Linked DNA regions of Yarrowia lipolytica. The protein of the gene in region 2 interacts with the protein of the main gene of each other region in a biochemical or structural test. Links are inferred from orthologs where the notes say so. Each region holds a gene or a part of one and is shown on either strand. Other genes may lie near its edges.

Region 1 (3,906 bases), on a different chromosome or scaffold from region 2:
CCCCGCAAGGAAGGTGTCATCAGGAGGTCCATCAATAAAAGAATGTCTGATTTGGTTTGTTTGACGAAGAAAAATCTTCATGATTCTTGTCGATATGTGTTGGTGAATTTGCCCGTACAAGTACGAGTACTGTACGTACAGGTGTATTTGTATCACACCATGGAGGACCAATTCAGCAGTGATAAGAAAAAAACAAAAAAAAAGGAAGAAAAAAAAAAGACAGGAAACAAAGGCAATAACAACAACAGCAATATAATGTAATTGTACTTGTACCCGAGTGCCTGTTTTAGTTGCCCCGAACTTGTGCCTGTCACTTCCGGTAATGAACTATTAACCTAGCGTTGTTTGTACTTGTACTTGAGTTGTACCACGCGACGTGCACTCTTGTAGCTACAGTAGTTACAGTATAGATCGAGCACATAGGATAACTCATTTACGAAGTCAACCTGTTCCACTCTATCACAATATTACAAGTAGCCTACTGACACACCCTCTCCTCTATATCTACAATTACCTATACGTACATGATGCAAAAACCCCTGGGGTGCCTTAGGCGCTCTGGGGGTTGTTATTAATCTGGATCTTGTTGTCCTGGCCACCAGAGACAATACCCAGGTTTTGTTTCCAGTCCACGCCAAACACGGCATTGTTCTCTGTCAGAGTCTCTCGGTGGATCACGTGCAGAGACTTGGTGGTTCGAACATCCCATATTCGGACAGTTCCATCGTGAGATCCTGAAGCCAGCAGGAAGGGGTTGGATTCGGGTCCTCGCGACAGCGACGACACGAAGTTGGTGTGGCCCACCAGCTTGGCCTGAGTTGCCACCTGTGCAGTTACTCGGGGGTCGTGCAGGGTAATGTGACGGGCTGAAGAGCCGCAGGCAATGAGACCCTGGGGCAGGGTGCAAAGGGAAAGAAGCGAAAAGGAGGTGGATCGGGTATCGACCGAAGGATCGGGGGATCCGGCGTTGCTCTGGACAGCCTCGGCGGTGGCGAGATCCCAGGTTTTGATGGTGTGATCCAGAGACACAGAGTAGGCGACTGTGGGGTCGGAATGATGGAATGCGACGGCCGAAACGGCGGCGGAGTGGCCGCCCATGACTGCCAGAGGACCTCGCTGACGAGCAGCTCCCAGACCGGTGGCTCCAGAGCCGGAGTTGGCGAGCTTTCGTCGCTTCTGTGCAGAAGTGGAAGTCAGACCGCCAGCGGCAGCGGTATGGGGCTCAATTGCCGGCATGTCATTGTAGTCGGTAGACCACAGACCCACGGATCCGTCTGCGGAGGCGGAGATGATCTTTCCGGTCTTGGCGTGAACAGCAAGATCGTTGATGGGTGCGGTATGTCCATGTAGAGCTGCCATAGGGGTCACGGTAGAGGCGGCTGGAAGCTCATCGAGCATCTCCTCATCACTGTCCTCCTCACTGTCGTAGTTGAGCTCCTTCTTGCCCACCTGTCCAGGTTCCTTTCGTCGGTACTTCTTTCCGTCGGGGTTCCATAGGTACAAAAGTCGGTCGGAACCTCCAGAAACGAGCTGGTCATTAGAGATCCATCGCACAGCCTTGGCGGCGGAGTTGTGGCCCACAAGCTGGCCGGTCACATGACCCGAGTGGTCCCACAGACGCACGACTCCGTCGTAAGATCCCGAGGCGATGACGGGTTTCAGATCGCCAGTCCACCGGGCGTTGATATCGACAGCAGCGACCCAGTCGGGGTTGGAGAAAGAGGCCAGAAATGATGGAGGCAGCACAGATCGAATGTACTCGATCGACAGACTGACTTCGGAAGACAAACCGTTGTCAGCAAGGAAAGACTCCAGGGAGGCTCCTGGTCGTAGAAGCACCGAGGAAGAAGAGGCAGACTCCTCGTCGAGAATCGAAGCTCCTCCATCGCCGGCAGTAGCCTTCACAATGAGGAAATCAAGAGGAACAGGAGTCTCAGTGTCCAGCAGCTGGTTGACGATTTCAGACAGACCCAGACGCTTGAGGGAAGTAGGGACCATGACGGGAGGCAGGGGAGCCTCGGGCTGCAGGGTCTCGTCCCGGGTCACGAAGACCACCTTGACCGACTGCGATTCTTGGTTGGTCATCTCGGTAAAGTTGTGTGATGGGTTGTGTGTGGTGATAATAACGGTATGGTGATTTGTTTTGCCAGCTGCATTATTTTTTTTCCTGTATGCCGAGTTTAAATTTGTAGCCGTGGTTGGGAGGAGACATGGGCCTGGGAGGGTCTGAGGTTGGATCCAGAGAGGAGAGAGGGGAAGTGTTGTAATGTTGTAGTTGCTGTTGTGTTCTTAGTGTGAGGGGCAAAGTCGACGCTACCCAACCCTTTGTGTGCCTCAACCCCTGTTTGGAGCTCTTAATCACTACTCAATATTTTACACAGTACACACTCCATACAGTACAAGCATTCGTAGATAGCAAACTTTGAAGCAGAGATGAGTTGCGTCTTGATAATTACTGATCAGACGTTGATAGAGTGTAGGTAGCACAGTAGAAGGGATATATGGAAGGGCTTATAAATCACCCTAATCATAATAATTGGACAGTCGATCTTATTAAATTGTTCGTTCATCGCATCCCTTAGCCCTGCCAGTATGATCCCCGACGTCGCTTCAGCGTCACTCTACCAAACCCATCTGACACTTTTACAGTTCCAGGGTCCATCCCGAGACCGATGCCTGGGACACTGTACTGTGGACACTAAACTTACTGTAACTGAGACCTTGACAGTGAGATACAAAGATGGACTTTAAAAAACAGTAGTTTCTCATTTAAATGATCATAATACAATAAATTAATTAGATGATACAATTATACAGGCGTTCGCGTTTGCACAGACTTCTTCCGCTTGTTCGTGTTCATGCAGCCTGGGCCTGGGCTTGATGAATGGGAACCTCCCGGTCGGACCACCCATTCATCTGACGAAGAGCTGACTCTACCAGACTGTTGGGCTCAAATGAACAGGTGTCCTTGAGTGGCTGGCCTCGGTGAACAGGGTACTGCTTGAACCATAGCTTGGCAACTGCTCCACGGCAGTGGACACCCACAGTCTCAGCCACAGACTCAACGGCAGAGACCTGGTCGGGGAACAGACCAAACGCCTTGATGACCATATAACCAATAGCCATGAGCAGCACAGGCAGCCAGAAGGCAAATAACATGCGATCGTTAGCCATGGATCGTCGCTGTCGTCTCCAGGCCTCTACCAGCTGCTCCTCGTCCTCCACAATGGGGGCTAGTGGGGAGGGCACCACAGCGGCAGCCGCAGAAGTGGACGCAACTGCTGAAGATGAGGCTCCAACAGGCCCAGACGAGTTCTCGGCAGCAGAAGCAGCGGCCATCTGCACAACCTTCTTGTCGTGGACAACCCCATGGCCAGGGAAGATTTCTTCGTAGGCAGGGGGAGCACCGGCTCCGTTTGCATCTCGAGATCGAGACCGGGTGGCCTCATCGGCAGACGAGTTCTTCAGGTATCGCCACATTCGCGAGATGGACGAATGAGACCGGCCTCGACCGGCACCGCCGGAAGGGGCATGTGCAGAAATGGTTCGGTCGGACTCGTCTCCCGAAGACGTGATGGGATGGTCCGAAAGAGGCGATCTTGTGGATCTGACTGAAGGAGGAGCTCCAGAAGACCGCTTGTTGGGCACAGTAGCTCGCTTGGGTCTGTAAATGTAAGCCAGAACATCGTCCCAAGATGCCATGCTGAGAGTACGGTCAAAGTACCGTGAAAAGGACTTGTTCTCAGTGGAAGTGTCAGATCTCACGTGATCCGAGTCATTGGAAGACACCACGTCGGGTACATTGCTACTGACGATTCCGGCAGCCACACGGGCCTCCACAGCCTGGTCTTCGGCCTCAATGTGTCGCACAAGTCGCTCTTCCTCCTCAGAGAGAGGAGATTCCAC
Region 2 (5,095 bases):
GGCTTGAACTTGTCGTGGACGTTGTCCATGTACACTATGTACTGTACTGGTAGTTTGTATGTGTAGATATATCCCTCGTGGAGTGGTATAGAGAACCTGTTACTTTAAAAAGCACAAATAACTATCTTGGAACTGTTCTATAATCTTTGTAACTCGGAAGACTTGTAAACATTGTGGCACTTCTCTACTGCAAATGATGGCAGCACCCATCATTTACTGAGAACAATACTATGACAAGGGTGAGTGGCAGCTATGTCAATCTTTCCAGACTTTCACACCCTATTTGAGCAATATAATATATATATATATATACTATATATATATATTTCCTCTACTTGCACTCATACAAATATGTCTGGATTAATGCAGATCTATTTCCATTGGCGAAGTTTAGCCCTCTTTGAAACGATATTATGGGATCTGCTCAGTTGGCGGGCCCACCTAAACGGAAACGGGCATTTGTGGCATTGTCGCTACTTGATCTGACCTACTAGTGCTTCAACTTTTCTACCATGCTCTCGTGTTACAGCTTCACGGTATTGTACCACAGCTCGTACTCCCCATATCCCTCACACTACTCACTCTTCACCCACTACACCTTGTACTTCTCTTATTTGTACTACAAGTACTCATACTCGTCAAGCCCGAGCAGTTCATGCTTCGCACCTTTTACTGGCGTCAGTTCTATCAATATCTTTATTAAACGACAACTTTGCTACCTCCTAGCATTGTTGCTATGCACCATTGGAAGATTCCAACACATCCTCGCGCACTTGTGAACCACTCCTTACGTGGTCCACAGCTTTGCAGTTCCGTCAGCAGCGGCTGAAAACAACCAAGCCTCCCGGGGATGCCACTCAACCCGCAGAATACCCAGACCGCTCTTGACATCGTGGCCCTTGAGCACCTTGAGAGGCACCAGCAGAGGGTTGGTCATCATGTCGTCGTAGACGGTGCCGTGGAAAATGTTAATATTACCGTCGTCAGAAGCGGAGCAGAACAACGGCAGACCACCCTTGTGGAATGCTGCGTGCCGCACGGCCTTTTCGTGGTATCGCAGGGTCTTGTAGGGCTTATCACTGAGGTCGAGATCGTGCCACAGAAGCCGTTTGTCGAACGACGACAGGATCACGTTATCACCACGGGGATGAATGTCCAGAGAAGACACCCATCTAGCACCGGGCATAAGCTTCTTGGCCATGACCTGCTTGGCCAGATCGTAAATACGCACGTATCGCTGGGTGGCAACGTACAGATGAGGTCGGAAGGGATGGAACATGGCGTCCTGCACAATACCCTTGGACTTATTGAAAGGCGACTGTGACGAATGCTTAGAGATCTGGTGGATGGCCACGGCTCTGTGCTGCGCCGAGGGGGCCACAGTGACCAGATAGTCTCCCTTTCGGTGCCATGCGAGTCGCTTGATGGTTTTGGTGGCGGTAATGATGGCTCCAATACCAGAGGCCTGCTGCTTGGCGGTGGGGGTGATCCACTTGGCAGGAGGGCTCTTCTTCTTGACGTGACCGGTCTCGTCGTCCGAGTCGGAGTCAGCATCGTCATCCAGACCCTTGGTATCGATATCCTGCTGCTCTCGTCCTCCCTCGGCAAAACCCCATCCCTGCTCAATCTTCTCTCGGCCGGTGTTCTCGATATCAAAGTCAAACAGCGTGGGAGGCACAATCAGGAAAATATGCTCACCAGCAGAGGCAGCCAGCATGCCAGGGACAGCGGGGTTCCACTGCACACACTCGACTGAGTCATCCTGAGCATCAATGGACGCCACCAGACGACATCGGTACAGCTCTCGACCAGTGAGCACTTCCCAAACTCGAAGAGTTCCGTCGTCGCCTCCAGTGGCAAGGAACTCTCCACTGGGATCCACAGAGATGGCTCGAACCTTGCCCTTGTGGCCCTTGTAGGTGGTAGCACATCTGATGGGGAAAGGCATGAGATCCTTGGGGGAGGGGAGATCGGGAATCAGAGAGTCGGGATCAATGTTGAGCTTGTTCTTTCGCACTCGAGGAGCCAGGTAGAGATCCAAAGACCGCTCGAAACGCTCTCGAACAGACTCGGAGTAGCCGGGCACATGTCGCAGAGCAGTGTACTTCTTGGGCACGTAGTTTCGCTCTCTCTCGGAAGGAGCAAGAGCATTCCACTCGGCAATCTCCTCTTCGGTGGGCAGATACTCGGCAGGGGGGTTGTAGGACTCGTCGTGGGTGGGAGGGGGCATTTTGGGGGCTCGCAGAGTCATGACGTGGTCCTGGACGTCCGTGAGGTTGTCGGCCCACACGTCGTAGTTGGGTCGGGCGTCAGGGTCCTCCTTGGGCTTTGTCAGCAGTTTACCCTGTCTAATGGCCTGCACCATCTTCATGACTCGCTTGGCCTCGTGCTTGGAGGGAATGAATCGTCTCTTGGGCTCGGGCGCAGCAGACAGAGGCATGATCTCTGTCTTGGAAGAGAACCACTCCACCAGGTCCTCGTAGGGATTGGAGGCGTCATCGGTGGTCTCATTCTTCTGAATCCGCTTGATGAGTTCCAGTTCCTCCTTGGAAATGTTGAGACCCTTTCCGGTGCTCTTGTCTAGCAGGCCGGTCCATCCCTCGGGCAAATCAATCGTCTCCAGTAGGTTGTCCAGAGCAGAACCGGTAGCGGGTCGCATGATTCGCTTACCGTTGATGTCATATCCAATGTGAGGCATCTGGTCGTAGGCAGACAGGGGCACGTTTCCAATGGTATTGGATTCCTCCTGGTCCGAATCGTCCGAGTCGTAGACAGCATGGATTTCCTTCTTGATCATTCGAGGCTTGCCGTCGGCTCCAGGCACAATTTCAACCACGTCCTTGAGCTCATCAGTCTGGTCGGAAGATCGAGACAGAGATCGCAGACGAACTCCGTCATCCAAATGCTTTAGAATCGAGGGGTCGACCTCGTCGTCTCCAGCATCAGAAAAGTAAGCCAGCTCGTCTTCCAGCTCGCTTCCAGACAGATCCTCCTCTTCACCGATGAGTGCCTCAAGCTCGGCGTCAGAGTCACTTTCATCGTCGGCATCTTCTTCGTTTTCAGTCTTGCTGGTGTTCTTCTTGTCCTTTGTCACATTTTCTTGTGCCACTTCCTGCTCAGCTTCATCCTCGTCGTCGGAGTCGCCCTCATCAATGAGTCCCTCGACATCGAACTCGTCTTGCACGTCGACAGGCTCGTCGACTTTGCGCTTCAAATCCTTCTTAACGGAGTTGGAACGACTTCGTACCATTTTTGTGTGCTGTGCGAAAAGTTGCAAATCCAATTTAAAAAAAATTGTCTACTATGCATGTCCAAAGTTAAAGTCAGGTTATGACGAGGAGGAGAAGTGGACATCACCTATACTTGGTTTACGCGGTGAAGTTTGTACTCCACATTAATATCTGAGCCAACACCATTCTTATGATCTGCTCAGATTTTACACATCTCACCAACAACCCCTCTTTTGAAGGGTCCCACAAACGTCACATCTCCACAATAAAATTCCATGCAACTCTGTAACCTCACTTACCTTACAAAGGAGATATATATGTCATCCATAACCAAACATTGAGAGTAGGTAGGTGGTATAAAAACAATACAAGCTTGGCTTCTTGTGATATGATCTCCATATAAAATATCCCATTTTTTCACTCGTGCATAGGTCATATCACACGCCCCAATGCCCCACAACAAAACCACTAGACTGTGCTTAACTACAGTAGACTTCCAACAACGTATACTTGATCTGAAAGCTATATGAGGATTACGGCGTTCTCAAATTGTTCATCCGATTATAATATTGACTGACCAATTTCCTAGGCCATCCTGTCTTACGCCTCAACTTCGATATGGATCCCACTTGCACACCACTTCTTCATCACCACCTCACCCGTACGTCAAACTCTACAAGCGAGGTTCTGTCAGCACAATAAAAACGCTTTGAGGGGCTGCACAATCTTGGTGTCGTCATGACCTCGGATGATTTTGGTGAGAAGTGACTGGGTTGTTTTCTTGGTTGAAGAAATGTAAGAGTAGCTACTTGTACTGTTTGCCCTTTGAAGACTATTGACACACAAAACTCCAGTGCAAGTTCCCATCAGGGGAAAAAAAAGATTGCAGCACCCAGGATTCTCGTATGGGTCTCCCCACTACAATACCTAACTAGGCTCTCCTGGTGCTTGGACTATGGCTGATCGGACGGGAAGGCCGTATTTTTTCCCACCAGGATAATGGCCGCAACCGTTATTCAATAAATTTGGTTGGACCTATATGATGGGAAAGATATATCACGTGACATAATGAATCATTAGAATAAAAAAAAAAACGTGAATCATTAGAATAAAAAAAACCCTGCCTCGCAGCGCACACCGAAACGATTTATGATTTATTTAACGCCAATAACCCGGCTTACTACAAGTACATACTGTAGGTATATAGCTGTAGTGAAGAAGAAAAAAAAATTAGAATAAGCTGTAAGCCGGGTTATTGGCGTTCAATAAATCATACACTTCTGAATCATTGCGGTGTGCGCTGAGAGGCGCACGTCAGTTGGTTTGTCGACGCTTCGTCTCGTTCTTGTCTTTGTCGTGGTCTCGTGGTATTGTTTTGTTTTGTTGTATTCTAATGATTCATCACCGTTTTTTTTTTTTTTCTAATGATTCGGCTTAGTCATCTGAGTTCTGTTGTTTGCGTCCCAAGAAAATAAATATTATGTTCGAAATGGCATCCTGGCCGAGCGGTTAAGGCGAGAGATTAGAAATCTCTTGGGGTTTCCCCGCGTAGGTTCGAATCCTGCGGATGTCGCCATCTTTTTGCCCTTCCGTGGAAGAGCTTATTTTTTTGAGAGCAATTGCGACACACTCGGGGTTGCTATGATTGCCACCAGGCACCGTATAAACTGTGTTCAACCACAATTGAGACATTTCAGGCTCCTGTATATATTTCAGATTACTCAGCCAGTTCGAAGGCAAACTCAATTCAACACTCATATACATGATAAACCACATACTCATATCTCATGCACTCTACCCCAACACATTACACAACATCATGCCCACACTCCACTGCCTTGCCGACCTTTGCCTCATTCCTGTGA

What was found.
Region 1: the proteins of YALI1_E31351g (region 2) and YALI1_B16194g form a complex in vitro, tested with the Saccharomyces cerevisiae proteins (2 studies listed by BioGRID). The link is inferred for Yarrowia lipolytica from reciprocal best matches to the Saccharomyces cerevisiae genes ERB1 and YTM1.

Annotation. Positions count from the first base shown.
Region 1 is NC_090771.1:1,617,316-1,621,221, forward strand, and holds YALI1_B16194g (uncharacterized protein), read right to left. Parts: upstream 2,086-3,906; coding exon 550-2,085; downstream 1-549. Other genes in the region: YALI1_B16239g (uncharacterized protein), read right to left, coding at 2,857-3,906. UniProt on the Saccharomyces cerevisiae protein: Component of the NOP7 complex, which is required for maturation of the 25S and 5.8S ribosomal RNAs and formation of the 60S ribosome.
Region 2 is NC_090774.1:3,131,884-3,136,978, forward strand, and holds YALI1_E31351g (uncharacterized protein), read right to left. Parts: upstream 3,251-5,095; coding exon 788-3,250; downstream 1-787. Other genes in the region: YALI1_E31369g (uncharacterized protein), read left to right, coding at 5,050-5,091.